Linked DNA regions of Daphnia pulex. The protein of the gene in region 1 binds, or shares a complex with, the protein of each later gene. Links are inferred from orthologs where the notes say so. Each region holds a gene or a part of one and is shown on either strand. Other genes may lie near its edges.

Region 1 (15,410 bases):
AAGTTATGCGGGAAAGAACCCTCAAGATGTTGGCAATGAAACTTAGAACTCTTGAAACCGGAGTCATGAAACCAGAAGTTAAAGAATTGTTGGTTAAGGAATGCAAAAAAATTTTACAGGTAATTTATTTTTTTATGATTGCCTATCCTGAGTTGATTATAGAGTGCATTGTTTCAATGAACCATTTATCTTACATAGGATGTCACAGCAGATGAGTTTGTTTTAGTTATGGCCATTCTTGGACAATGCAAAATAGCTGATTCAGTAAGTGGTCAACAACAGTTAGTTGATCTGGTTGCTGAACAGTGTAATTTCACTCAAGTTTTCAATCCTGCTGACCAAGAACACCTAGATCGTATCATAATCTGTATCAAACATGCTCTACCTTATTTTTCGGTATATTTCTTATATTCTATACCTAGAACAAGTGTCTTGATTAAAACTAATCGGAAAATTATTTTAGACTCAGGTGAAATCGACCGCATTTGTTTCTTACATTTGTGACCAAGTTTTGCCCCATCGTAATGAAATTGGGCAGAGTGAACAAAAATTGGACATATTTAAGTTGCTGGCAGAATTGAGCTCTAATTGCGGCCCCCTAGATCCAGTCGTTGAGCGAATCCAAATCGTGTACGACACCCTCTTGGTAATTTATTGGAAATAGTTTTTAAAAATTCATCTTCACCATTTCCTGTTTTTTATTTCTTAGGAATACATGCCTCTTCCACCACCAGTATTGGAAGAAACCAATGGAGATGGATGCACGACAGAAACCGAAATTCGCTTAGAGTTCACTTTTGTTGAATCATTGATCTTCGCCTTTCACCAGTTGGCTCGTCAACACCGCGAATTTCTGACCGATAATGCCGATCGCAGCAAGGATTTCCGATCACGGTATGTTCTCATCACCAACGATTTGTCTGAACTTTCACACAACATAAAAATATTTATCCTGGCAGATTACAATATTTTGCTCGAGGAGTGCAAGGCTACATAAAGAAGCTACGTGAGTCGTTGCAAGATAAAGGTGTCGACCAACTGAGAGATGAAGAGGGTCGGATTAAGGTTACTGCTTTGAGAACTACTTCCAACATCAATTCACTAATTCGGGATTTGTTCCGAAACCCGCCTTCTTACAAAGTCAACGTAACGTTATCATTCAAACCGACAAATGCATCACAAGTAAGTTATATTGCTGCACAAAACAAAATGGTAACCAGGTGTAATCAATATTATTTTCTGAATCTTTCAGGCAGCTAAACAGACAGCAGCGGTAGCAGTTAATAACGAGAGCACAAGTGAAGCGGCCGGCGTTGCTAAGCGTCATGCTCCCATCACGTTTGAAAGTTCGCCGCCGAAAGTTCGAGTTAATACAGACAACCGTGTGAGGCAACCATATGTTGTTCCTACTGGCAAATTTAGTGCCAACGTGTCAGCGCATGGCGCAGGTAAATGACCCATTACATATTGGCGATATTGCCGTCTACATCAACAAAAATTCTAATGGATAATTCTATTTGTCTAGATTCTCGCCCCCGTGGTCGTGGTGGGTACAGGGGTGGGCGGGGATATCGGCGGGGAGGGTACTAGTTGCTAGAATCCCCCTTTTTTCCCTTTTAAATTCTAGTTGTGTATTCGCATTTCCTTCTTTCCCTCTCACCTAAACCTGGAATCACCCTTTTCACCTTTTCATTTAAAAATGGTAACAACGGAAGCGGTCGGTAAACTAAGGAAAATCTGATATTGTGGAGTCGATGACGGGACGGACTATGTTTGTTAGAAAAATAGCTTCCATCTCGCCAAAAAAAAAATGCCCTGTGGAATGTCGACATACAAATTGCGATTTTTGATTCACTTCTGATTTTCTTAATTCTCCGCCATTTCAGCAGGAGGTCGGCATGTTAATGCTCGTTTCTTTGTTCTATTTAGAATCTACGAATTTGGTGATAGAATGGTGGGTGCGATATACCGGAAGGTTGGACTTGTTTGCATTTTATTCAAGGATTACTTTATTATATCTTTATTTTCAGTCGGAAGTCGAATCCAGCCAACAACACGAGTCACTAACTACTGTTTACAAATTCTGATGTTTTGCTAGGTACATATCCGACGGGCGGCATCTCATTGTTGCTAAAGAGATGAGGTTTAGATTTCTTACTTCAATGTCCGTCCCTGAGCCGTACACACAATTAAGTTCTGCTATTGTTTGTCATACCTAATCTCGTCATTAATACAGACAACGATACATTTAAATTCGTAAACTTTTCACTTGATGATACGTATGTATTTTACAAACAAAATGGCAGAATAGTATGCGATACTTTGAGACTCGTACAGTGTACATTAAAATTTCACCTACACTCATTACATTTTGTGATGCACTCACACACATTAGGTTAGTTAGTCCGAATACGTACACAAAACTCAAATAAAGAGCGATACGCGAGGCAAATTGCTAGCACTACCCAAGGTTGTTTTTCTGTTATAAAATTGAGTTTAGAGAACAAATGATCGGATCCTTAAAATCGCAACTTGAATAGTAATTTTGAAAAAGGGAGGGCTGGGGGTAAACGATTTCACTGTGATGACTGGTTGGAATTTTTCCGATAAGTAATCCTACATTTCAAATTGGTCGAGGAGTGTGTAACCCAGTAACGGCGGAGGTCAGTAAAGGCTGATGAGATTCACCTGGAGGCCCCCAATCATTAAGACCGCCTTGAGGAGAAAGACGATGTATAAGACGATGTGCAATAGAAAATCCACCACCGCCTTCCAGCTGAGTTAGAACCAAGAGCACTTGTCTATGCAGTGGTGGAATTGCGTCTACTGTCAACAGAGCTCCTCGAGTAGAAACGACATTGAAGCTTTCCTGACAGTCGCAACGGACTTGCAACCATTTATCTGCATGGCGGTTTTCCACTGTAACTACTAGTCCGGCCTGCAAAAAGGAAAATGTTTTAAAAATAGAAATTGTCTACAAAAATGTACAATGATAACTTACCCAACCCTGAGTGAGATAATAAGCAGTCATACCCTCTCTTCCCTATAGATACAAAAATTTAGTTTATATTTAGAACATATTTTTAAACGGTAAAAGATCATTTCGAACCTCGTAGCGCTGGCCTTTGGCCATAGTCAAACTAATGAGTCCATCAGCCAAAACAAATGGTGAAGGAGTGATATGCTCTACAAGAAGTCGCTTGCTGCTGTGCAATGCCAAGACGCACGGCGGGTAGTGGGTGACGGCACCTTCAACTGGATTCAAATCCCAGTGATTGAAAGCGAGACAGACGATGAGATACAATCCAGGTTCCAGGAATGCATTGGTGGCAACGAAACCCCTCAGTTGCCGTCGACTGTGCACAACTAATTGGCCAATTTGGGGAGCAGCCACTGAGCCAGTTCTGTAAAGGGCGACGCAGAGATCGACGGGTGAGCGTTGTGACTTGTCCGTGTGTCGGCTGCCCTCTTGAAATAAACTCAAATCCAATTCGGTTGGCTCAACCACCGTCACTAGGACGGCCAAAACATGGTCTGAAAAGGCGCAAGGAGGCAAGAGACCAGGCAATCGAACTTCACTCCAACCTGATCGCACCTTGCAGACATCAATGCAATCAAAGAAAACCAAAGTATCCTGTGGAGAAAACCAAAAAGAAACATTTCAGTGAAATATTGCCCATTCACCCATTCAGTTGATAAAGGGCCCTACGAGCACGTGCTCCTAACAACCGCAGGGAGGAGATCCCAACAATTGGTTCGGCAATGCCGCTATGGGTCATTGCTGAATGCGGTTTTATTGTTTAATCGATTGAGATTTTATCGACAAACAAACAAATCCAGATTGCGTAGGCACACAGGATATCATTAAGGAACAGTAGGGGATAGTCCAGTCATGTAAAGAATATCGTAAAGAACGGATGGTCAGTGCGTGATACTCGTATAGCACACTGCCATGTGCTCATTTATGTATGAACAGCTGTGTTATTTTATATAGTCTCCTTCTAACAAAAATAATTCAAAAAGTGGTTCTTCGGTAGATCGTGTCACCACAACAGTTTTGAAAAGTGTAACCAGTAGTTTTTATTCCGATACGGCAAGTTTTTTTTTCCAAGCACGCCAATTTGAAATTCAACGCGGTTTGTTAAAAAAAAGTTTTGGAATTTCTTTGTGTCTTTTACTTCCAAGAAAAATAAAATCTTATCGTAATAAAAAAGAGAAGAATTCCTTTTAAATTACCTGGAATGATATCCAAAAAACACCTTCCACATCCCCGTGCGGCATACAAATGGCACGAAGTTCGGGGTTCCAAAGTTTGGAGTCGTCAGCCCAGTCACCACGCCAAGAAAAGTGACCCCATGGGTTACGCATCCTAAAGTGCAATTCCAACTTTTAGATCAAAGTTTCAAGAAAGCCAAGAGAGTCATGTTTAGACCTGAGAAGGCGAGGACCACCTTTGGAACTGAAATCAAGAACGTCTAACACGGAGTAGGCGTGCCGGGGTCGCAGTCCTTTTTGGCGATACTCTTCCTCGTCTATCTTCATTGTGCCACCACCGCAAGAAGCGCCCATCAGGAAACCTTTTAAAAGCAAAACGAAACAATGATAATAACATTACCCAAATGCGAATTAAGGTTAACCAACCTGCAGTGCGAGAGCTGAGGAGTCGTGCCCAAATCAAATCTTCATCCAGAACTTCAGCTTCTTCCCTGTTACTTCCGTTGGTTGATGGCTGGAGGGAAATGCTCTCGCAAGGGGCTCCTGTAAGCGAGGCAAGACCTGACGTAATCAAGAGTTAAGTACGTACTTTTTTAATTAAAACGATTCGGATCAAATTACCTTCGATTGAACGACCCGAAACAAGGGCCCCATAGCCTCCATGAATTTTCGCCATGGCTTTTTCGATTAGCGGCACCCATAATTGCTTCCTTTTAGCTTGAGAGTAAAGCAGATGTCCACGTTGGTCACAAGGCAACAAATCGTCAACCAAAACAGTTCGCCACATTCCATCTTTACATAAGCGTATCTGTAATAAATACAAATTAGATTATGGGTCGCACAGCAGAAGTACAATTGAAATTAATAAGAACCTGATAAGCGCCTTCGTTACAGACTTCCCGTGTGACCATAACATTTTGAACTAATTCGTCTCGTTCGGCTAACACTGCTAAGGCGCTCAATAGCCAGCAGTCACCCAGGATTCCTTGAGATATGTCGGATGGCAACGGGGTACGAAAAACAGCCCACCTGTAAATGAATTGTGATGAGCGAACGTGATTGGTATGAATTTGAACATTCCATTTTCTTACTTGACATGGGAAGCAGCGCTGCTAACTATTTGACTGGGTCGGAGCCATTGAACCCCTTCTTGAGTGCTGTTGTGCAAAGAGCGTCCAGTAGGTAGAAATGAATCGTCGACAAATTTATCGCCACTGGTTCGACAAAAGCCAACAATACGCTTCCATTTGAGACGCGCTTGTTCCTCTTCCGTGTGGCGGAGAGAAGCGGACGGCTCACTTTCATGGCGCGAGATGGCGGCCGGAGCAGGTGGCGAAAGAGCTGTCAGACTTCGACTGGATTGGCATATTTCACAGCTGTACGATTTAGACTTTTTGTTGTGAAATGTACAAGCAGAACATTGCCATCCTCCCATCGCAGAATCGGGAGTACGCTTTGATGACGGAATGTTTCTCGCTGGCGAAGAAGGAATCGGGCTGCTGCCGATGGTCGGTGTTCCAACCTGTTATAAAATTAAGTTAAACGATAATCGATAAATTTCAGAAAATAAGAAACGCTACAAAATATTAAGGATAATAAGATGAAAACTATATACAATTGCAATATCTACGTACCTTTGTCTGGGACTGCGGAGTCATAGCGGTTTTACATGCTCTGCATTTGGAAATCGAGTGTGAGTTAAGCAACGTGCACTGAGGACATGACCAGGTGTCTTTTTTCGTGGGACTATGAGCAGAGCCTTGACTTTCTACTTTCTTCTCGCTGTACAGTTGTGAGCAGCTACACGCAGAGCAAACATTTTCCCCGATTGGATTGATTAAAGTGCATTTTTTGCATGTCCAGCTCGCGTCGTACTGATGATTAACGACCACCGTACCGTTCTTCCTACCATTCACGGCTGCCTCTTTGGAATGGCTGTCAGGCACAAACAATTCCCTTTTGTTAGTTTCAAGTAAAAAAGTTATGCTATTGCTCATAACACTATAGAGTTTAAAAATACAATACATACTTGTTGTCTGAGTCCAATCCTGATGTTCCATATTTAACTATAATGGGTTTTCGTGGTAATGTTAAGGGGATATTGGGAGAGCGAGGTGCTTCACAAACCTCACAGCAGTGGAGATCAATAAGATTTGAAAATGTGCAGCGTTTGCAAGACCATGTTGAGCTATTGTTGTTTGGCTGTTGAAGAGTTTGATTTTGCTCTTGACTAGCTGAAATTCCTTTAGGTTTGCTGGTCATGCAAGTCATGCAATCTTGAGCACTATAAAAAGTTGGTATATCTTGTCTATTAATAGGTTCTAACAAAAAGAAATTGATTGATGATTGTTCAAACTAACCTTGCCACATTCAGAAATAAGCAGTGAGGGCAAGTCCATTTTGCTAAGAATACACAAGTAATAATGGAATAACAGAGATTCCCACCCAGCAGATGATAAATTATTAAAACGTTAAATACCTGATGAAGAACTAGAGTAGGAGACAGAATGTTTAAGTTGTGAATGATTTTTCGAGGACCGATTGTTTTCCTCAAAGTTGACTGGTGAACACATTGGACGGTCTTCTTCTTTTTCTATTGTACAAGATCGTTTTGCCCCGCAATTGAAGCAACAGCTCTTTTCAGTTGGATTAACTTGTAGGCATATCACACATTTCCATTGCAAGACTGAGGCAATCGTACCCATTTAAAACTAATCCGATTTTAAAAAGCCAAACATCAAGAATTAAATAAAACGCACAAGCCAAACATATCGACAAAGAAACTGTGAGATCCAGACGAAATTTCCCTGTCCGACTGACAGCCGCGATCAGCTGATCCTGAATCGATCGACCTGCCCTCCTGAGGTATTTCGTCTCTGCTGGTCTCCCTTCTGTTAACTGAAGCGGCAGCCAATAAGGTGTAGGATACACTTGCTGAGTCGCCACTTGACATGAATTCTTCATCACCACCCAGTGCTATAGGTGATGCAGATAAGGAAAAAAAAAATCGTTCGTGAAGTTGAAAACAAATATCGCGTGTGGCGTTGCGCGCGCGTTTGTTATCGAACCTGCGGGGCGGACCGAGCGTGAATGTGGTAAGAACACGCATAGACTTTTAGGTGCACGCCACTATAATAACAACTATACTTTTATTTTTTGACAGTAGCATGTTACCTTCTTTTTCTTTTTTCCGAATAAATTTCTTTTTTTTTAAACTTTGGTTGTATGGCTTTAGAGAAAACAGGTATTCGCGCACAAGTGTTGCTTAGATTAAATGGAACGCAAACTTAAATACAGGATCTATCCTATCCAGTTCCATAATCATGTTCTAATCGATATTTGTAAATCAACAATAGAAAATCGACCATTCCCGTCGAGCGTGTTGAGTCGCTGACCAATGAATTTTTCAAAATGCAAATTAATTTTGAATAGGTTAGGCCACCTAGCGACGCGTATTCAAACTTTTTCCTCCTATCAACGCCTACGGAGGAAAAGTCGAAAACGCTCCCCAAATAACAAATAAAAATGCATTAGCATTTTCTCAAAGCGTTTAGTAAAACTATTTTGATATGAAAAACTGATTGGTTTAACAAAATTCTATCGTGTTGTGCATACAAAAGTAGATAAGGAAAAATGGAAAACTTTGGACGCTGTAAAGAGAGAATAGACGTCAGGTATTTGAGATCTGGCAGCGTCATGTTAGTCATCCCATCCATCCCAGCTCACTTGTGTTTCTCCAACTTGGCTGTGGAATTTGAGCTGGAAAAATGTCGTAAAAAGTTCTTTTTCCCCTTTGTTGTTACCCGTTTTCCGTCGATTGGATGGTCGTCGTCTTGTCAATAGAATCGACGCCTTAAATATTAAGTGCAATTGTTTTGTATAGTTTTGTTTCGCTCAGTTCTACAAGGCACCATGGCTTTGGCCAACACGGAAATCGTTCATGAAGGCTGGCTTGTCAAGTCTCCGCCCACCAAACGAATATGGAGAGCTGTAAGTGTAATTTGATTCAATTTTAATTAAAACAGGTTACTCATTATTGAACAGTTGCTCTTTTTACCTTGATAAAACTCCATGGTTCAGAGTGCTAAATAGTAAATACTATTATCAAGCTTCTGTTGGCCATTCTCTCTGTTAGTGGGTCACGATGAAGCATTTCTTTTCCAATCATTTTCCCATTATTATTTATCTCTTTGTTTCTCAAATCATAGATGCCAAATTATCCTTTATTATCCCATTTGTGTTATGTGTGGAGAGTAGAAATTTAGCTGATCCCAGCATTACCATGGCATGTACTCGGTCCCTGATAAATCTTGGAATTCTCTGTGTTTTTTTAAGCGTTGGGCTGTATTGGTTGCTCAACATCAAGATAAGACTTGCCATCACATTTTTCAGAGTTTACCTCAAGCTTTATCTGGAGATTCATAAACTTAGATAACTGCTTTTTAGCATTTCCCCCCCGAGATAAAAAATTCCTCCAAAAATAAATTATGCAGGAGCTGTTTTGTTATCAAAATGGTGCATGGTTGTTTGTGACACTTTGTGGGCTGCCACCAATCGGGCGAGTTTTTTTTTCCCGGTTTCTGTGGTGAACGCTGCAACGAAATTTATTCGATCTATATATTTTGTGTTTTGTTTTCATCATCTCGATATCTGTGGAAGAGAGGAGGATGTTGTTCCCACGGTTTTGGTAGATGCGCGCTTCTCTGACCTATGACCGACTCTTTGTAATCGGATCTGTTGATGGCATTCCCCTCCCCTCTTCGTTCAACTTAGATATGATCGAATTTCTTCTCCTCTCCCCCCTTTCTTTTTTTATTATGAGAATGTTTGCCGATCTCGTTCTCACTCTACGACAACCCCCATGCGAGGAGACCCTTCTATTATTATACAAAAATGTCTTGTGTGCCTGGCCCATCAATTTCTTATCCCTTTTTTTTCTTCTTCTTTTGGTGACACAGAAATGGCGGAGAAGATGGTTCGTGTTGAAACATTCTGGCGAGTTGCCTGGACAATATTTCCTTGAATATTACACGGATCGAACATGTCGAAAATTAAAGGGCAAAATCGATTTGGACCAATGCGAACAGGTGAATTGACTTTTTAATTTAATTTGTTCAACATAATTTTTAAAATTATGTTTTTTCTTGTAACAGGTGGATTCCGGGCTGACGATTGAAAGTAGGAAGCAGCGGTATGCCCACATGTTTGACATCCGCACACCGAAGCGCGTCTACTTTTTGGCGGCCGACAGTGAATCAGACATGAATAGCTGGGTGGGTTGCATCTGTCACGTCTGCGGTCTCAAGGTGTTTTATCGCGAAGATGAAGAGACCGGTTCGTCTGTGACTCTGACACGGCCCGTCCCTAACGCGTCATCGACAATGGCCACCAGCGGAGTCCATTCGGCCATGGCGAGGACTTTGCAAGTGAGCCAGTTGTTGGAAGACACGCCACCCACCTCGCCCACTTCGCCGACCGGCAGTTCGGGCCCTTATTTCCCGTTGAGCGAATGCCTTTCAGGATCGCGCAGTCTCGTCTTTCAAGAAGCTATGGGATCGGTGGGCCAGCCGTCGTCGGCGCCCGTGACTCCAGCGCCGACAGCGCGAGGCTTAGCTCTCGGAACTCAAAGTTTACGCGGCCGGCCTCAGCGCGAGGGCTGGGACATTTTCTGCGACCAGCCCAGACAGTTGTCGTCGCCCGGCCACTCACAATTGGGTCAATCGCAGCAACTGCAGCCCGTCAGTTCGTCGGCGCGCAACGACCAAGGAGTTCACGAGCAAATTCGTAGCTTTGAGGACAAGTTTGCGCACTCTTTTAAGAGACTGCAACCGGCCACTGGCGCCAGCAAACGACCATCAGTTCCCCAATTGATGGGCAGTCAGAAGTTTGTGCCGCCGCCTCGCCCGCCCAAACCACCTCATTTAATCGACCAGCCTTCGCACAATTATCTGAATCTGGAACAGCTGCAATCGCCAACTTCCGTCGCTCCTGGTGGCAGATCGCACAGTCGCAGCAGTAGCCCACGCTCTCCATCGTCGACATCGCCTCCTTTACCTACGCCGACCAACGCCGATTCCTGGTAATTATTCAACGATTAGTAAATGAAGCGCAGACCTTGGTTAATTGATTGTTTCATTTTTTGGGGAAATTTTAAGGTACGATTTCCCGCGATCGCACCAGGGTGACCACGGCAACGACGGCAAGACGGGCAAGGATGCCCAGAGACGGCACTGTTACTCGAACGCTGCACCTGGCGAATTGTCGTCATCGGCTGTGGCTGCAGCGGCTGAGATTTTCACGTTCAACAACAACGCCGTCACGGCCGGGTTGTCTGCCGCTTCGGCCATGTCGCCCAGCGTTTATTCGAATCTGGCCAGCCCCTTCCCTTTGGCGAGTCCAGCACTCCTTCCCATGACCCCCTTTTCTCCGCCTTCAGTCAACCGAACACTCAAGCCCAAGACGCAATCCTCTGGTGCGGCCGGCGTCGTTGATGGACCCCTTCCACCGCCCTCAGTCAACCGCCAGTTGAAACCCAATCGTAAGTGGTCTCGTTTGAGGTCTATCGATTTTTTGGGGTGTTGTTAACGATGCCAATCTTTTATTTTCTCTCTCTTCTCAGGTCCCGTTTCTGGTGTCGGACAACACGCCGATTTCCACGGAAGCAGTTCAGACGATGCTGACGATCCATCGAGTCGGGGCAGTACCCGACCCAATTCCGCCCATGACGAGGAGCAGGTAAAACATTTTCCTCCTTTTTTAAAAAATTAATGAATTAACTCGCTTTGCTGACCAACTAAAACTAACCTTGGGTGGTGTCCGCGGTTTCTTTCCTTTTTTTTCTCATTTGTGTCTCCCCTACAGATCTACTATTTCATTCAGGGCTCGAGGGTCATTAGCGCTGGCCGTCAGCTGGACGATATCCAGTATTTGGACTTGGATTTGGAGTCTGACTCGTCTCTCCAATCGCCCAAAAGTCCCGAACGGGGTCACCATCACCAAAATCACCACCAGGCTTCGTCGACTGTCTACAAGACTGTCGACTTCATCAAAACGGAAGCTTTCAACCGAACACGTCTCACCGTCGAGGAGCGTCGCTCCAAAAAGGCGCAATAGGCACTCTCGAACCACCGCCACCTTTTTTGGATCGTTCAAATGTCTCGAGAAACATCCAAGACAATGACTCAATTCTTTTCAGAAGAAAAGAAGAAAACAAAAAGTAGGGAACACACGCACTCGGCACAAAATCATATTTGACACACATACGCGCGCGCACCCCCACGGAGAGAGATTAAAAACAATTCTGTGAGATTATTTCCGTTGTGTAAAAAAGACAATCAAAGATGATGGCACACACATATACAAGCCTTGTCGGCCATGTGTTTTTTCGTCAACCCCCTCCCCACCCACATTTGACTCCTCCCCATTTTTCCTTTGACAGATGGACTCGAGCCATTCCCTTTTTTATGCACGTGTATGTGTATATATATATATACATATATATATATATAAAAATAATCATTTTGGCCAATACTTCGACAACAAATTCAAAAAAACTTGCCCGAAGCTTTTCTCCTTACAATATATAAAAGTTTTTTTTGTTTAACGCAAAAACAAACAAAAAATTACCAACAGGATTGTTGGAGTGTTATTCCTTTCCCGTTAATCTATTTTTTTTTTAAATTGATGTTCACTTGTTTCAAGGGCGGCGATTCTCGCGATTACAGCAAAAAGAAAAGGGCAATTTAATGACAATCGAAAATGTGGGGCAGAACAGCATATTCATTCTTTAAAAAAACAATTCTTTTGATGATGATTATTACTTGTAATTTTGTTTGTTTTTTCTTTCTCTCTCTTTTGTCTTTTGCATTTGGATTTCTTTTGAAAAAGAAAAGAAGAATCACGCTTCGTCTTTTATTCTTGTACGTACGTTTTCCCCAACACTTTGAGAGATTATCTGTAAATACAGTTCTTTTTTTTTTCTCACTTTAATTCATTTTTCTATTTCAGTTAACCTTCACCGCAAGTATACAAGATGAAGGTGTCGCATTGCGCGCATGATCGGCTCACCGGCATCTGTGTATGAATCCCGTCTGGGATATTTAATTCGTTCGTCAGCTTTCACCGAGGGGGTGCGGCGATTGATCGGCGGGAAAACAGAAACCGCTGGTGCGTGTGTAGGTTACAGACAGACATAACACTGCCAGCACGTCGTCCACGTCGTCGTCTCGGTCTAAATATATATAACGTCAGACCTAGTACGACAAAATGCGTGTGCGCTGCTTTTCTCTTTGTAACTGGATGACCTCCACCATCTTTTTTTCGTCTTCTCCTGTACCCCGTCTGCAGTTGTGCCAACCTCCTATAGGATCCGCTGGAACAGTCACATGTTAGCAAGGGATTTGTGTCCGACTTGGGTCTATACTATATTCCAGCGTGTTTTTAGAATTTTTCATTTTGGCAGCAGAAGGAAATGTTCAGCACCGAAATAATCAAATGTGAGAAATAGAAATGAAATGTTTCCAATATTGGTTCAACTCGTCAAACACGACACTCACGCAGCAGCACATAACAGTTGAGTCAACACACGCTACATGGATAGAGAGAGAGATATTGCAGCAATTTTGTTTCTCTTTTTTTCAGTATATTTCCCCGTGTCTGTGTACAATCTCCACGAGACGAGGTTATTGGCGTCAATCAAATTTTTTGAAAATTCCCGCGCTTGACGGGTTTCGATAAAGACGGGCAAATTGCGGTTGGAAGAAGAGCCTCCGCCAATGCATCCTAATGACGTATGCAAATACACAGACATAAAATAGCTGGTGGGGGTATATAATCAGACGTTGTTCATTGCCATCAAAACAAATTCTTCAGATCAAGAAAACACCAAACTCTGCGCAATTTTTCCGCTTCCAGGCGATGATTTCTCTCCGTTCCAACGAGCCACCCTGGAGCTCGTTATTAGGGCGGGTTTCGTGCAAATTTTTACTCGGATCTTGTCCGTCCAGGGTGGGCTTGATGTAACTTATCGAGAAGAACAATTTGATGTGAAATATATATCCCGATTTGTCCATGCGGTTTGGTTTTAGGGAAGGGGTTGATTTTCTTTGATTTTGGCGGGAAGTGGGAGGCGCGGAGGGCGGATTTTTAATATCGATATCTTAACTTCTTAAGCGTGGTTAATTAGAATATTTGTGTCGTCTGCTTTCCTTTTGTTTCGCAGTTTCGAAAAAGCTAAAAGAGACGAAGGTTCAGACATTTTTTATCATAGAAAACTGAAGGGATCACTGGTTTGATGGAAACGTGTACGTGGCTGCAAGAGAAATTGCAGAACAAAATAAAATGTGGTCGTCGTGCAAACTTATTTGGTGTCGTGACTCGTGGCCATGCTCTCCACTCCATGCTGTTTCTCAGGTAAATAAAACTAGAATACGAAATACGAATGGAATGATTTTGGAAGCTCATTAGAAGAGTTCAACCTTTTCCAAATTTGTGAAATGTTGGTGCCCAACTACAGTGACTAGCATCTATCATGTAATAATGCTTGTTGTCGATGCATGACAGAGTTTGTTTGCTCCATGTATAACCTTTACCTTTGTGTAGATTTCAGTACTGAGCCAGCCATCGTAACTACAAGATTTGCAAGTTTTGACACTGACCCGTCATCACCAACAATCTCAGCATCATTAATTGGGTAAAGATTTTTGTTGCTTTTATTAACCTGTTACCTGCTGTATATAAATGGTGCCTAAAACTTGCATAAAAAGGTACTGCCAGGTATTACATGTAAACCTTAAGCAATCGTGTTTATTAACAGTAAGGGGATAACCACTGTCTTCTTTCTAACTTTTCCCAAGTTGTTGTCTCTGCAATATTTTTTTCGTAACCTGTTTTGTATTTTTTGATTAGATAAACAGCTCCTAGTTTAATTGGGAAAACTCTGTCCTCGTGTACACCCATGTGAAGGTGAGTGTATACTCACGATGACCCCCTTATCCTATCCTGACTGGCGTCAACCGTGACTTGACTGAGGATGGAGCACTTGTGGTTGCCTGGCTGTGGATTTCCTCGGTTTTAAGGTAGAAACAATGTAATCCTGTTCTTCCTTTTTATCTATTTGGTGGCGTTATGGTTATATAACGTTACGGAATACGATTATTCCTGAGCTAGGCCATTTGACTGGAACTGTTTTCTCTTGCTGTTTCTGTTGTATCAATCAGGGTTAATTAAACAACTCATTTGCAGAGCGACTGCACGGTATCAGGCTTGTTTTATACCTCACAACTTAATCTGCGGGTAAAAAATCAAATTAAAAAAAAAAACTTGTTTAATTTTAAAAACCTCAACAATGTGCAAAAGTCTCGTTTGAATTCAATTCAGCGCCATACAAACCTTCGGGAATCGAGCAGCTACTGGCAGCAGCGCCATCACGTTGCCAAAGTTGAAACATTCAATTCTACAAAACTAAATGAATGGAATTTCATTCCAACGTCTCGACTTTTTAGATTGAATTACACATCACGTGGCTTGAGGCACGCGCTGTCATAACTCCCGCGGGATTGAACCCAATTCGGTTTCACGTTCTATACCCAATAGGAATCGTCCAAAACAAATTATTATGTTCCATGTTGTGTGCTGTGTGTTTACATCTTTTTTTTTCCCCGGCTGCGCATATGGCTTACGTAATAATGTGTCGGTATTACTGTGACGCGCCGCTTTTATTTGACACCGGCTGGCGCGGCTTCAGTTTTCCCCCGAATAGTTTTTCGAGACGTGCATCGCATGTCCGTGTTAAGTTTCTCAGCATACCTACGTATACATGCTAACAATCAATGTTAAAAACCAGAGCTCTACAAGAGCTGCTATCCCATCGTCTGTATTTAGTGCGGCCATCGGGACCGGTTAGACTCGATTTCATTTGTACCGTTGGGAATTCTGTTACGAATGTTTTTTTTCCATCAAGCTGTCGGCGCATACCATTCTTTTTACGGATTTACCTATCTAAATCACTCGATAGAAATGGTTGTTGTTGTACTACACCTTTTTATAAATTAAAACAGTTTGTTTTGTGGGGAATTCTTGCTCTTCTTTGTAACTCGGTTGATCAATTCGAATTGTCAATGGCGGCAGCATAGAGCTACGCCAGAATTTCATGGAAAAATCATTTCATTTGATGTAGCCAAAGCTTATATTCAATA
Region 2 (15,385 bases), on another chromosome or scaffold:
AAACTTACTGTGGCCTCGTGACACTCAGCACACTTAACAACATGTTGATCTTTTTTGCCGGAAATATCAATGAGAGCTTGGCACACTCTACAAGTAACCATTGGGTTTCCGTTTAACTGGGCTGCTCCTGTTGTCCATGAGTTGGTGTCACTTGTGGATCCATAAGGTGGAGGAACTTCATCAACTTCTGAGAAAGAAAATCACTGCTACATGATTTGTGAAACGTTTCTATTCAAACAATGGCACCAATAAGCTGTCGAGCGAACTGGTAGTTTCGCACCATTGTGACTCATACAGATGACGATTAAGTCTAAATGATTGCTATAGTTTCCTATTTTCTGACACATAACTCTTTGAAAAAACTTACCTTGTGCAACATTAGCCAGATCTCCCCCATAATCATGACTGACAAGAGGTTTCCGTTCATCAGACGGCATGATTTGTGATTTTAGGAAGAAGTACCGAACGAATTAGCTGAGTCTGAGACAACTGTGTCGATAAAGAAACAGTGAAACACCCCTTGTTAGACGACGTAGACTCGAGAACATTGACTTGCTTTATTCAGTCCTAACCAACGCCTTGTAACATTTGCCGCAAGAGGGCATTGATAGTTCTTGTACTAGGATCGTATGGTCTCGTAATATCATATATCTGCTAAGTTCCAGGAAGTACACGGCGGTGTATTTCATCGCATTTCCGGCAGGAAAAAAGTGCCGTTTGTATATTGAGAGCTACGATGTTGTATGGTAATCTATGTAAAGTATGCTTTTTCTCTTGACCAATTACCAATATTATGCGTGTTTTGATTATTTTATCATTCCTACCTTTGAGGGAGGCAGCAATAATAAAGAGAAGTCACAGATTTTTCTGTGACATTGACATTGTTATAAATTTTATCAGCTCAATTTTTAAATTCAAGGAAAAATTCCATTTTAAAAACACTATTTCGCAATTCGTATATCACAACCACACCAAAACTGCTGAAACCATGCCGAAACCTTAAATCACGCCAGCACTGTAACAGTTGTAGCTGTATTCTGATCCAACGAATTAAATCTCGTTTGGTGGTGCAATGGAAATCGATCGCGGAGACGGATAAGCAAGCATTTTATTGTGCTTTTAAAATTCAAACATATGGTTTTCAGACATTTCCATTTTTTGACATTTACTAACAAAATAAATGATAAAATCAAGGGTCTTAAATTAAAATGGCACTAAAAAATGTCCTATCTATGGCCTATTCTAAATTTATGACCTGTTATACCTCATTCATTTGACAAAATGTTCATAATTTGTTACGTGAAAATAAAGCCTACCTTTCAAATTGAATCTGAAATCCATTTTTCGGTCGAAATTTTCCAATAGTAAAGTATTCCTATTTTTTTCTTTTTGACGGTTTTGAGTTATGTCTTTCTATCTCACAAGTCACACTGTAACTGACGATGAATGTTAAATTGTTAATGCTGCAATATGAGTCATTATAGGCTCGAGTCCTCTTTAGTTTCACAGTCAACAGATTGGAGCCGATAGTTTGGGACGACATTCATCAGTTCTTTCGCAATCGTAGCAACAGCTAAGGCATTTTCCAGAGAGGCAGCATTTATTATCTTATCATTTCATTCTGCAGTCTTCTTTTTGAATATTCATCCGAGTAGTTTTCAAGGATTTTTTTCTTGAAAATCACTATAAAATGGACGAATTCTCAATTTCGTTTTCTTTTTTCTTAATAGAGTGACTAAAAAATATGCGCCGTGCTTCTAAATATGCACAGCTACTTTGATTATATAGGCTAAACTTATTTGGGACACGGGAAGTCGGGAAAAGCAACGTGACCAGCAGCGTAGCCGCAAAATAACCTAGGAAATAAGATGATCTTTTATAGATGTTCATCGGCCGCACTATAGCTCTATAGCAATATAAAAATTTTTGAAAAGAAGGCCAACTTCACCATCTTACTAAATCTTTCTAATATAATAATTTCTAATCGGAAACTTTCTTATACAGTGTGAAATATTTTTGGGATAACTCCCATTATTGCAATCTTGATTGAGAATAATCTCCACCCCAAAATCTAGCAAATATTTTAAAAATCTGAATAGTAATATAATTTAATAAATCTGTTTGACAAGTGCTGGTAGGAATGACTAATAGATCGGACTATTTTCAGCCGTTGGAACTACAAGCCCGCAAGTATTACAACTATAGGAAATTGTTTTAAATGGTACTGAACCCATCCATTATCAATTATTAGATGACCTCTTTTTTATTTTTATAACAACATTTTTATGAGGAAGAAAACGGGAATTAAATCTAAAAGTATTGTTTTCTTTAAAGATCTGGAAAAAAGAAGAAATAAAACTCGATAAAACTGACGAGCAATTGATGCGATACAGCGCGAATTGCTGCTATATATTCTTTTCTTTCTCTTTGATAATGCATGTCCAGAAGCTAAGCCCAGCATCCTGGTGTCAAGTGAAATGCAACGGTTGACTCGATCAATTTTTATTTTTGTTGCTTTAACTTGTGCAGCAGCTATAATAAACAGACACCTTCTTTATAGCTCCAGTGGTCCCGTTTCTTTTGTTTTTTCCCAACTTTTTCCAATCGTCCTCTTCCAATTTTTTTTTACTGGGGGTGTATATACATGGAAAAAAGAAACAGAGATGAGAACGAAATAAATTGCAAAGGGGCGGAGTATTAGGGATGATAAGTTGGCTATAAAATGCGATAGTAGATCAAGAAAAATTGTCATTTGCTTACATTTCTCACTCCGCTAAAGAAAGAAACACTCGAACAGCAAGCTTTTTACATTTTAGTTTGATGTGAAATCAGTGCACCGCTTTCGACAGCTATAAATCAATACCTTATTGGAAATCGTAACTCAGGTGAATAGAAAAGACGAGAAAAAAAAACAATCTAATTTGTATTGTTAATTTAATAATCACAACAATTATATCAATCCTGTATGCAGGTTACAATAATAGACGGAAGAAAATGCGTTCTACTTTTTCAGTTTTCATACTGCTATGTCTATTTTCCATACACTTGCAGCCAAGCCATAGTCATTTACCGCCATTCTTCAAAGAAAAGCTTCTAGGAAAAGGGAGTCAAGGGAAAGATGCTGGTGGGACGGCTTTAGCAGCCGTGATTTCGTCACGGAAAATTGGTCTAGGTCTGAAAGCCATCCTCTTCAAGCCGTTGCTTTTAGTGGCACTGGCCAAAATCAAATTCGCCCTTTTGCTCGGCAAGCCTCTTGCTCTGTTGGCCATAAAGAAACTCTTACTGAAAGCTGTTCTAGGCAAGCTGCTGCTCAAGATTCCTTTGATCCTCCTTAAAGGCAAAGCCCTTTTGTTTAAGATGTTGGCTCTCAAGATCAAACTCATCACCAAAGGTTTACTTGGGTTTAAAGCTCCATTAACTATGCTCTTCCTGGGTGCGTGCGCCTTGGGGTCCGGTCTAGGTTTGGCTGTAGCGCTCGGTGCTACGCTTCACAAGTTAAAAGAAGACTCTTACGAGGAAGACTACAGCAGTTATGAGGAGCCGTACTATCCTCCACCAAGGCCCTCATACGGTCCACCATCTCCTCCTGCCTACAGCTCTTCTTCGTATTCACCCAATCCTGCCTACAGTTCATCTTCTTATCCATCTGATCCTGCGTACACTTCTTCTTCTTCTTCTTATTCACCCGATCCTGCGCACAGTCCTTCGTATTCACCCGATCCTGCATACTCGGCTCCAGCTGTCTCCTACTCACAAAGTGGCAGGGACACATTCTCGTCGAACGGTTATGGCAACGAAGTCGCCAGCCTGACAGTCGGAATAGGAGAAACCAATTTCGGAACTGCTGCTGCTGGCTATTCCGACTACGGGAATGTCGCAAACGCATTTCAAGGTGGCTATGAAGGTAGACGCCAAAAGCGTGACTATTCCAGTCTCAGTTGGTTGATTGGCGCTGACGAGAGCAATCAGAACGAAGGTGAAGAATTTGAGGAAGAAGCTATTGATGAGTCACCCGAGGACCTTCAACTCGAGTTTGAAGCGGCACGTACCAACGGAAACGCTTACCTCTACATGGCCGCTCAGTTTGACGAGAAATCCTGCGGTCGCCGTCTGCTATGCGAAATCTATCAGAAAGCTCACGAAAGCCTCACTGAAGACGAAATTCTGTTGCAAGAAATTTTCGGGTTCGTCATCGCAATCTTTATTTCAACTCTTTTAATTATAATTTGCATTTGTTTTTGTTTTCGTTTTTAATTTCTAGATATCCTCTGTCTGCGTTAAGCGAAGAAGACGAAGGTACCCCGAAAGAAATGTATTACAGGGCGGCACAGTTAGGCACAGCATACGAAGGTCGACCAAACAATCGTGTTTGTGCCCGATACTATTCCGCCTGTCCACACAATGCCGACCAGCTCATCAATATCTTCGTCACCGAAGATGTTCAGACTAATGAAATTGACACAACTGACCACCGGCCTTCCGCTCACCTGCAACCACCTCAGTCTAGCGCTAACTTACCCTTTTACCAATCTCAGTCACCAGCCGTTACGGTTGCTCAGTCATTAAGACAAGATTTTAGGACGGATCAACAGTCATCGACCAAGACAGGACAACAGCAAGTGAGTCGACCGGGCAGAGTGTTTCCGGCGCTTACAAGCCTCCGACACAGATTTCTCAAAGAGACAGCACCCAACACTGCTTGAATTGCGATTTCAACTCTATGAAGAATGAACTGTAGACCGGTACGCGTCTTTATAGTTGTACTTTGACGATTAATTATTAGCTTAAACATTTTTCCGTATGTTACAGTATTCGATGTTGACATCCTTTGTTTACGTTAATTGTTTTGTTTTTATCTGTGACTTTGTAGTGGCTTATTCATACACCAAAATGTAAATTCTTAAAGGGTCTATGTAAGAGTCTAACTTTAGCTGCTTTAGCTACGCGATGACGCAAAGAAACCGAATGACTCTGCCTCAATATTTCCGTAAACAAATAAATGCCAGTAAATCTTTTTATTGTTTGAAATCGTGACGTTGCTGTAAATTCTGTGACACATATTATTCCTATAAAGATTGATTATATAAATTTTTATGATGGTGATATGAAGAACAATCGCAGCGCCTCTAGCGGATCAATGTGCCCTATATTCAATTCTACCGCTACTAATTTTTGAATAATATTAGCGTAATAAAAATATACCTTATTATAAGCCTTCTTCTTTTACGCATCTTACCTCATATCGCTTATTCATGACATGATTCTTGAGACACAAAAGTATTCCCGTTGTTCGAGAAATAAGTTTTGCAATAAATAGACATAGCGATTTTTTTAAATATTTAACCAGAGCAAAACGGTAACGGTAGATTCGCTATTGAGTGACATTTCCTTTTTTTATTTATAAAAAGGAAACTGGCTCGTCGACGCTAGATGGCTGGAAGCAGTTTCAGGAATAGGGAAATCTTGAATATTTTATTAAGTTATTGTACTGTAAAATGCAATTGTTGGTTGTGTGTTAAGTGTAATTTCATAGTCGTTGATTTTTTTAAAAGATACCCTATTTTTATTTTTCTCTTAGCTGTATTGGACATATCGATATCTAATCGATATCGATTGACGAATTTAAGAAAAAAAGTGTGCTGTCCCTAAAATCCCTTAAGGCTAAAAAGTTGTTTTGTTTAGTATTTACGTGAAATTCCCGATTTCAACCAACATAAATTTGAGAATCCAGTGCCACAGCTCCTTGTGTAATCAAGATATAGTTTTGCGGTTAAAAGTTGTTGGAAAATATCGCGACTTTTAGATTTCAGATAAAGCTTTCAAGTTTTTCCTCAGTCTTGGTCTACAGCTCTTTTACATCCATGGGCTCAAGAAGGTAATCATTTGCTTACTTGAATGTGAACACTTGTATGTTTTCCCCACGGTAACTGACTAAGTAGTTTGTTGAACCCAAAAAGTGTCACCTTACAATTGTTTTGTTGTTATGCCTTTGTTTTAAGCTGAGACTGATTTTTTGTAGGTGGTTTCATCCCAATGTGTCAGGAATCGATGCTGAACTCCTTCTCCTGAAAAGAAGAGTTGATGGCAGTTTTTTAGCTCGTCCCAGTAAAAGTAATCCAGGAGATTTCACCTTGTCTGTTCGGTAACAATCAAACTGAATATTTCTTTAATGAGGTGTCTTTTTAATTAATCTAAAACTTTTATATTTTGTTTCAAAGGAGAAATGGCGAAGTTACCCACATCAAAATTCAAAATACTGGAGATTTCTATGATTTATATGGAGGGGAAAAATTTGCCACGCTGTCTGAACTGGTGCAGTTCTATATGGAAACTCCTGGACAATTGCGAGAAAAGAATGGTGAAGCAATTGAACTTAAATTCCCAGTCCATTGCTCTGATCCCACAACTGAAAGGTAGTTACAGTGATTTTATCTGTTTCTTAATGCAAGATTTTATAATTACTTAATTTTGTTTTGTTCTTTTTGTCTATTACTATTATTTTTCATTGCTTATAATGTTTTTTTTTCTTAGACTGTCTTTCAGGTGGTTCCATGGACACCTTTCTGGAAAAGAAGCAGAAAAAATTCTACTTGAGAAAGGGAAGAATGGAAGTTTTTTAGTCAGGGAGTCTCAAAGTAAACCTGGGGACTATGTTTTGTCTGTTAGAACTGAAGACAAAGTAACCCATGTCATGATAAGATATCAGGTGTGATATTGAACATATTAATAAGCTTTATTAATAAGCTTGGATGAGATTTTACATTTTTTTTTTTTCGTATTTCAGGAGCAAAAGTACGATGTTGGTGGTGGCGAAAAATTTGATTCACTGTGTGAACTAATTGAGCATTATAAGAAGAACCCAATGGTTGAAACTACTGGAACAGTAGTTCATTTAAAACAGCCTTACAACGCAACCAGAATTCATGCAAGTGGAATTGAAAGTCGCGTTAAAGAACTGCAGGTAACAACGGGATCCGGATACAAGTAATTATTTTCACTAGTAAATATGGTATCAAGCTCTTTCAAAATTTTGTTTTATTGAAATTAAGGACACAAGTATTTTTGTTCTTAAGTAATTATGGACTGTTGTATTTAAAATTTTTAATAATTTGGGCTTTAAGTAATTCATGCAACGTGTATTTAGTCAAATACTCGCTAGTAATTATGGTCACCAGTAATTAAAATTATGTTCACAAATAATAGGTTCTATTAGTACAATTGTTCGTAAGTCACTAGCAACGACTTAAGTAATTATATTCTTAAGTAATTGTTTTCTTAAGAAATTATTTTCTTAAGTAATTATTCTCACAAGTAACTATTTTCTTAAGTAATTATTATCTTATGTATTTACACGGTGTAAACACTTTTATTATTTTGTATTTAGAGAATTAAAGTGAAACGTCATTTATTGATTGCGTTATTGCGTAGGCTCAGGTTGCGTACAAACTTTTACGCGTTTGCAGTTTTAAGAACGCGCCTGGAAATTACATCAACAGTTTCGAGTTGTCTGCTTGTCACTTGTCAGTTTGTTTTTTTCCAAAAGTCAGACAAGAGTTAATTGCTGGTTAATTGAGGCTCAAAAGTCAAAATAGGCGTTGTTTGTGAAAAATATTTTGTCTTTGGTAACATATTTTCTTTCTTTATAAGTAAATGTAAGTTAACATTTGTGTAAAAATGTTTGTTTATTCTGTCTATTTATTAAGAATCAAATTGTTACACCAGTTAAAGGAAACAGGAGTTTATCATCAGAAGAGATTAAGCATTATCATTCATCAGTACTACAACCAGGTGGTATTGGATGTCAAATGAATTTTAGAATGCTTCCCTCCAGGTAGCAATAATATTTCTTTTATGTATATTTTCTATTCTTAAAATTTCGTTATCCGCCTAGGTATTAATGAAAATATTCAAGCAGACCTCAAAGTAAAAGTCACAGAGCTGATAATAAGAGTTCTGATAGCAAATGAAGGTCTCCATTACTATCAGGTTATAGCAAAATTCAATTACGAAGATGATCCTCTTACATTTGTTATGCTTCCATGCACAGGGTTTTCACGATATTGCCATCACACTGTTATTGCTTGTTTTAGGAGAAGAGAAAAGTCACAGTGTGTCATGCAGACTTTCCCAATCACATTTCCAACTGTTTATGGGACCAGATATGGAGCCTACAATGAAAATGTATGCACTAGTCAAAAATGAAAATCGTGATTTGTACAATTATTTGATGAGGTATTTGAAACCCCTCCCCCCCCCCTAAAAAAAAAAAGAGAAATATTCTCTTTAAAATTTGAATAACTTGTTTTAATTCTAGGTTGGAGCTAGGGACAATTTTCTGCCTTCCGTGGGCGATTACTTGGTTTGGCCATGTTCTCAACGATTAGGAAACTGTCGTAAGATTGTTTGATGTATTTATGTTCTCACATCCATGGACCTCTATGTATCTATCTGTTGTCGTCGTGTTGCATAGCGCAAGTGATATTTTCTTGACACCGTGTGAGATGCCGCTTCTACATCAAATGCTCTCCAACGTACTATTTTTTTAATAAGCTCTTTTTCGATTAATGTTCTTACAGTTTTATCTTAGGTCCCTGATAATCTACCATTTGATAGTCTTATTACTGAAACAGAAAAGTTGATGCGAACCTATCCACCAGATGTAATGGAAACAGTTGTCCGAGAGATGCACGCTGAAAAGTATCTTAAGCATTTAAGTTTCTGCTGATATTTCCTGAATGACATTAATGTTTCATCTTGTTGTAGTATTCGTAAGATAAAGGAAGAGGACGAAGAGAGGAAAAGGAGAATGGAACAGAGAAAGGCTGCTTTACAAGGGAAACATAAAAAAGCGGCGATTCAACGTTGGACTCCTTGGTCTGGATTCAGAAATTTAAGATCCCAAACTGCGAAGGTTGTTGCACTTAGCGTAAGCGTTGCAACATTCGCATTTATTTATAACTATTTTGAAGTTCCATTTGTCATGTTTAAATGCTTGTCATACCCAATAATTAAGAAAAACAGAAAATTTCATAATATTGAATATTGTGCCTGTTGTGTTCCTCTTCTGTTAAAGAGCATTCCTATATTTCAAATTTTATGAATGTGAAAAATGTAATTAAATAAACTGGTTTGTATTCATTATTCCATGTGTTTTACACTTTTAGACGTTGATCAGCCACATAGCTTTCTTGGCTGTTTATACAGTGCCACCCTATTGGACCGATTTCACAATCTGCACACATCAAATATTTATAGTTCCCAAGTCCCAATCGTATTAGAAAATCCAACATTTTCAAATTGGAACATATCAGGTATCAGCCAAGATTTTGTGACAAAGCAAAAGTCTAGACCGATTGATTGATCGATTCAACTCTGATGTCACCTTAGGCGAAAATCTATTTCGTTTCTTCAATCGATATCAAATTCAGAAAAAGAACTAAGTTGGTCAATAAAAGTGTAGTAGACATTGAGTATAGACAACAAGGGCGTTGTGCTGATTAATTCGTCATTCCCTCAAACTTTTCTTGCATGTGGCAGACGAAAATGGCACTTTTCGCGAATCGCTAAAGAAAATGTATTTCCTTTTTGTATTTTTAGAATAACGCGAAATTGCGCTGCGCGACTAACAAGGACATGTACTTGTTTGTCCGCAGGAATTGTTCATATTGCAAAAGTGGAGCCAGTTACATTGTCAGTCCCGAACTACCGATCGACGAAGATCGATCAATATGACGGTTCCTCCAAAGATAGATCTTACCTGTGCTGTACGTCGACATGTACTGAGCAGGAGAAAATGTAACTTCTCCGACGCTGTTTTCAACCCGCCACAATTTGTCGACATTTTCCCGGATCCGCAATTGACATCTTTGTTTAAGGTTTAAGGAGTAAAGAAATCGGAGTCCAATGCCAAGCTTGTGATGTTTCAGCACTTAATGTAAGTCAGTATTGAATTTAAATTTGTCAATAGCATTATAGCTAATACAAAACGTATTGGAAAATTTAGATCAATACGGATTGTGCTACGACCGAGGCCCACGGAGTTTTCCACAAGGAAGGTGGATGGCCTCGCGATGTCAACCCGCAAGAAGCCGATCAAACGGCTCGCTACCGCAAAAAGATCGAGAAGGATGAAGCTTATTTCCGTACTGTTCTACAACTTGGACATGTTGAATTGATATAAATGTGAATGATGTTTATACTAATAAGTGCAAACAGATTTTTTTACCCCATTGTAGCAAATGGAACATTACATCAAGCAAAACAATGTATTTAACATCTATGAGGATTATTTCACTGATTCTCCCGATGTGTAATCATCAATTAATTTAATACTTTTTTTTTATATTTCTGGATGGCTGAATTTTATATTTCCAACAAACAAACGCCAGATCCGAATCCTCTGCGAACTCTTCATCTGCTAAAGGATCCGTCACCGATAAAACGCGCAGTCACAGTCTTAGTTGGAGTCCCGATATGGAGGAACCAAATTGGCCGCTGCAACTATTCAGATCCTTTTTGGAAAAATCTGTTTGACCACAAAGAAAATGATTCTTTCATCTGGAATATTGGTATTGACATTTGCCGATATGAGAATGATATGTCTCTTTATTCAGCAGTATAACTTTGCAAGTAATAATTCCTTCCATGAATAGAAAGAGCTGTGCAACCAGAAATAATTTTACGCAGCATGTAGTCAACTACGTTCCGTCTCGTTCAATCCGCGTGACCATCACATTTTAGCTGGTGGATCGATTTATGGCGCTGTGGGAATTTGGGACGTTTGTAAGAGTCAAGGTCCAGTCGAATGCGTCCCCATTGGTGTCGGTCATTCGGAAAGTGTCACTTCGCTTATTTGGAGCAATTCAAAGGCTGGAGGAGAATTCTTCTCCGCCTCTGGCGACGGCCAAGTAAAAACACGATAACAAATCATTTTGATTATTTCATCTTGATTATATGATTAACAATAATAGGTTCTTTGGTGGGACATGCGAAAATTAAATGCGCCAATAGACGCACTTTTACTGGAACCTAGTTCAATCCCTCGATCGGAAAGCGCTTTATCTGCTACTTGTCTCGAGTACGATCCTTCTATGCCAAACCGTGCCAAACAAATTCCTAGTTGGCACACGTCAAGGTGCTCATTTCTCAATTCATTTCACCTAAAAATAAAAAATGAATTGCCAATTTGCAGGTATTGTGATGAATTGCAACAGAAGAGCCCGAACAACAGCGGAGAGGATAAATGGATAATGTGCCAATACGAGGCACACTTGGGCCCAGTTCACGGTCTACATCGACACCTACATCTGCCCAAAATCTTTTTGACCGTTTTGGATTGGACCACGAATGTTAGGACCGAGGACATTCGCGATTCGCCCATTTTAACTTTAAAGTGTGTTCGCTTATGTCTATTGACAAGCAGATTCAAATAATAACTTGTTTCATACTCTGCTGCGTTGTAGGAATCAAAATGTCCAGTTACTGGACGGAGCGTGGAGTCACACACGGTCGTCCATCATATTCACTGCTGCAACAGACGGTGCTCTTTACCTGTGGGATATTCTCGCCCAGCGGATCACTCCTACGTTATGCTCCCAGGTCATAATAGAAAAAATTTGATTAAAATGTTGACAATTATAAATTTTAAATGTATTAACCAGGTCAGCGAATCTCCGCTTTTAAGTTTGAGCACCCAGGAACACGGAAAAATCATGGCAGTTTGCAGCAAAGACGGACGGTTTTCCGTCATTCAAATAAGCGACAATTTGTCGACAGTAACCAAAAACGATAAAGTAGCGCTCACCTCGGTATGATAAGTTATAGCTGGAAGAAAATTTAAGTCTATATTAAGTCCTATAATCCAATCCACTGTTACACACAGTTACTGGAACGAGAAATCCGAAGAGAAAAGAATTTGGAACAGCGGACTAAAGACAGCAAGAGTAAACAAGGACCCAAAACTTCCATTTTCCACCTTGCGATTGCAACAGTGACCCAAGCGGCCAAGTTGCTACGCAAGGCTCATTGGGCGTTCAGAAACCTCCGTCTCCCATGTCCCATCACCTCGCTATCTAAAAAAATGTTTGATAGCTTGAAGGAGACACTCCAGGCACTTAATATTAATCAAGAGAATACAAGCGGCAAAGAAGTTAACGAAAGATCGGTTATTGAACCTTCGGCTGATATGTTGCCAGCCACTGATAAAACCGGAAGCCAAATCAACGTATCTGTCTCTCACGCTGCTCCAGTGGCGCCATTCGTTGATCAGACTCTGCAATCTTCCGAAGAGGCTTTCTTTGAAATTGAAACCATTGATCAGGTATAATATTTGAGTTATTTCGTTATGATATCAGAAAATGTCATGTACAACTTTATTTGTTTTTAAATATGATCACAGGAAATACTTTCCCGTGGAATAGAAGAAAAACAATGAGTAGACGAATAACTAGTATGTATGAATCACCAATGATTTTATTAATCCGATCCGCAATCAATATTTCCATTATTCAAATGTTCGTTTTTTTGGGAGAAGGGGGTATAATTAAGAGAGGTGTCGAGAAAGAGTGTTACAAGCAAGTAAATAAAAGTTGTAGGGGAATTAGAAGTAAAAAGCGGTAAAAAGTCATTGCATTCACAAGTCATTTCCAGGGATCCAGCTTTCGACTAAACCTCCTTTACTATTTGGTTCCGTTTCGAGACTATAAGTCATGCAAGCGGAGCCATCCCTATAAAATTTAAGATTTAGTGGAGAATGTCATTATTTAAAACAAATTTGTTTAAAGTAAGTACCTGTGTTCAATAGCTGCCACTATAAACCCATGGGATGATATGTCTGAGCAGAAAGTTGAGTAGGCAGTACGGCACGCAGTAAGACCATGAGAAAATACAATTACAGGAAATCTTTGTTCATTGCATAGCTCAGCATCTAACGCTATAGGAATGTATGAATTTCCTGGCTCACATACATCACAATTAGTTGACTTTAACCTTCTGTTAAAAACAGGTACTTCATTTCGCTACACACCAAAGGCCCAGGATATCAGCTTCTTGCCAAAGAAAGGAATCATTCCTAGTACTATGGTGTAATCTTCTACGTATTTTGGGTGGAGGAGCCAGCTTGCCCAACGGGAAGAATGTTCCTTTGGAGAAAAGAGGTAAATAGATTAACCACAAAAGTTCAGCAGCAATTTGAGAAAAGGTCGCTTACATATACATCTTTTATTTGACTAGGATAGTATACTCGAAGAAAGCAACCATCTTCCTTGCTGGGTCCACCAGTCATTAAGTTGGTGCAGCCAACAACATACTTCCCTTTATAATCAATAACAACAAAGTAAGTTGATTACATTTACAAAACACAATTCACCAGCAATTAACTCTTCTCTGACTTTTGGAAAAAACAAACTGACAAGCAGACAACAGACAAGCAGACAACGCGAAACTGTTGATGAAATTTCCAGGTGCGTTCTTAAACCTGCAAATGCAACAAAGTTTGTACGCAATTAATAAATGTGGTTTTTCCTTTTTGTGCAGCATCACTATAATTCTCTAAATACAAAATAATAAATATCATAATTAATTATTCATTCTAGTACGGAATATAAACAATTAAATATGACTAACTTTTTAATTAAAATGCTTAAGAACATAATTACTTGGGACTTGAATTACTTATGGCTTTAATTACTTGTGAATTTATTTACTTGCAAAAGGGAATTACTTGTGTTGGTTAGCTAAATTACTTGTTGCCAGTATTACTTACTACCATAATTACTTAGCTGACAGAAAATAATTACTCATCAATTTTATTATTTAATTCCGTAATTACTTAAGAGAAAAATTACTTACACCCATAATTATTGATCTTATTTACTTAATACCCCAAGTACTTGTGAAAATAATTACTTGATGTCCGGACTCGTAACAACTCCGCCAAGCAAATGCTTTTTTTTTTTATTTTATTCATTTATTGTCTGAAATGTCTAAAATCTTTCTTTCTGTATTTTTAATTGTTTCCTCTGTAGAAAGAGCATAGCGTTAGTACAGGAAAAGGAGGATTTTGGGAAGAATTTGAAAGCTTGCAGCAACAAGAATGTAAACATCTTTACAGCCGGAAGGAGGGACAAAAACCAGAAAATCGGAATAAGAATAGATACAAAAACATATTACCATGTATTGTTGTTTATACTGTTTGGAAAGGAAGAAAGTACCAAAAAATAATATGCTAATTTCTTTTTTAAATTATTTTAGTTGACCACACCCGTGTTCTACTCAAAGATGTAGATACTAGCGTAGCTGGAGCTGATTACATCAACGCCAATCATATTCGGGTAATTAAATTTTTCAGCAACATTGATTGTTTTCAAATATGTATCATTCTGAACCAAATTTAAACAACAGCCTGAGGACGATGGAAGTGGAGACCTATTTCCACAATACATAGCCACTCAAGGCTGTTTGCCCCATACAGTGAATGATTTCTGGCATATGGTAAGAATAAATAAAGTGAAATTTAATGAAAAAAATCAATCACGCATAATATTTCGTTGTATTGTATTATTCTAGGTGTGGCAGGAAAATAGTCGAGTCATTGTCATGACAACAAAAGAAGTCGAAAGAGGAAAGGTAGAAATGTCGCTACTCGATCTTTTTTTTATTTATTTTATTTTTCATTTCCTATTTGTTTTATTCATTTCTGCAATTGATTTCAGTCTAAATGTGCGCGATACTGGCCAGAAGAAAATCAATCGAAAGAATTCGGTAAGGTCTCATTACGGTGTGTCAGTGACTCACTCCGTGCGGATTACACCCTTCGGGAGTTTGTTGCAACAAAGGACAATGAAGAGAGGCTTATATATCAGTATCATTTTCAAGTAAGTTGTAGACTTGAGAAAAAAAAAACATTGTGTGATGTCTACAATTTTATTTTCTTAAACTTAAACAGGCGTGGCCTGATCATGGAGTACCAGCCGATCCTGGTTGTGTGTTAAACTTTCTTCATGATGTGAATACCAGGCAAAGTTCTGCGGCTAATGCAGGCCCAGTAATAGTACATTGCAGCGCGGGAATCGGTCGTACTGGAACGTTCATTGTTATTGATATGATCATTGGACAAATTGAAAGAAGAGGTATACTTTGTGTGCTTTTTAAATACAAATTTGGCACAAAAAAAAAGCTTTCTTATTCGATAAATGTTTTTTTTTGTGACTAGGTTTGGATTGCGAAATTGATATTCAGCGGATGATTCAAACTATCCGCGCTCAGAGATCCGGTATGGTACAGACCGAAGCTCAATACAAATTTGTTTACATGGCAGTTCAATACTATATCGAGACATTGTCTCAGCGCATGCAAGCCCAGCAGGTATGTTGAGTTGTATCATTTA

Evidence for each region.
Region 2: the proteins of protein daughter of sevenless-like (region 1) and tyrosine-protein phosphatase non-receptor type 11-like are in contact, whole or in part, in a crystal structure (PDB 4QSY), measured with the Homo sapiens proteins. The link is inferred for Daphnia pulex from reciprocal best matches to the Homo sapiens genes GAB1 and PTPN11. Residues at the interface, in NP_002030.2 of Homo sapiens: Lys623, Val625, Glu626, Tyr627, Leu628, Asp629, Leu630, Asp631, Leu632, Asp633; in NP_002825.3 of Homo sapiens: Gly13, Val14, Glu17, Arg32, Pro33, Ser34, Lys35, Ser36, Thr42, Arg47, Thr52, His53, Ile54, Lys55, Leu65, Gly67, Gly68, Tyr81, Gln87, Leu88, Lys89, Glu90, Lys91, Ile96.

What each region holds. Positions count from the first base shown.
Region 1 is NC_060019.1:10,836,817-10,852,226, forward strand, and holds protein daughter of sevenless-like, read left to right. Parts: upstream 1-7,797; 5' UTR 7,798-8,127; coding exon 8,128-8,205; intron 8,206-9,173; coding exon 9,174-9,302; intron 9,303-9,368; coding exon 9,369-10,294; intron 10,295-10,370; coding exon 10,371-10,753; intron 10,754-10,834; coding exon 10,835-10,950; intron 10,951-11,076; coding exon 11,077-11,328; 3' UTR 11,329-12,204; downstream 12,205-15,410. Other genes in the region: apoptosis inhibitor 5-B-like, read left to right, coding at 1-119, 199-396, 464-646, 710-894, 960-1,182, 1,253-1,448, 1,526-1,590; calpain-D-like, read right to left, coding at 2,624-2,938, 3,002-3,043, 3,110-3,634, 4,237-4,369, 4,433-4,577, 4,642-4,776, 4,837-5,023, 5,088-5,244 and 5 more. UniProt on the Homo sapiens protein: Adapter protein that plays a role in intracellular signaling cascades triggered by activated receptor-type kinases. Plays a role in FGFR1 signaling. Probably involved in signaling by the epidermal growth factor receptor (EGFR) and the insulin receptor (INSR).
Region 2 is NC_060017.1:3,947,005-3,962,389, reverse strand, and holds the start of tyrosine-protein phosphatase non-receptor type 11-like, read left to right. Parts: upstream 1-5,453; 5' UTR 5,454-5,861; coding exon 5,862-5,875; intron 5,876-6,019; coding exon 6,020-6,142; intron 6,143-6,218; coding exon 6,219-6,413; intron 6,414-6,531; coding exon 6,532-6,706; intron 6,707-6,784; coding exon 6,785-6,961; intron 6,962-7,428; exon of another isoform or gene 7,429-7,622; intron 7,623-7,703; exon of another isoform or gene 7,704-7,831; intron 7,832-7,891; exon of another isoform or gene 7,892-7,986; intron 7,987-8,047; exon of another isoform or gene 8,048-8,232; intron 8,233-8,314; exon of another isoform or gene 8,315-8,531; intron 8,532-8,587; exon of another isoform or gene 8,588-8,697; intron 8,698-8,763; exon of another isoform or gene 8,764-9,141; intron 9,142-10,673; exon of another isoform or gene 10,674-10,907; intron 10,908-10,970; exon of another isoform or gene 10,971-11,134; intron 11,135-11,191; exon of another isoform or gene 11,192-11,400; intron 11,401-12,453; exon of another isoform or gene 12,454-12,631; coding exon of another isoform or gene 12,632-12,725; intron 12,726-12,789; coding exon of another isoform or gene 12,790-12,952; intron 12,953-13,024; coding exon of another isoform or gene 13,025-13,139; intron 13,140-13,207; coding exon of another isoform or gene 13,208-13,311; and 18 more. Other genes in the region: type 2 phosphatidylinositol 4,5-bisphosphate 4-phosphatase-like, read right to left, coding at 9-187, 368-437; uncharacterized protein LOC124203633, read left to right, coding at 2,995-4,184, 4,262-4,703; platelet-activating factor acetylhydrolase-like, read right to left, coding at 12,632-12,725, 12,790-12,952, 13,025-13,139, 13,208-13,311, 13,389-13,536. UniProt on the Homo sapiens protein: Acts downstream of various receptor and cytoplasmic protein tyrosine kinases to participate in the signal transduction from the cell surface to the nucleus. Positively regulates MAPK signal transduction pathway. Dephosphorylates GAB1, ARHGAP35 and EGFR.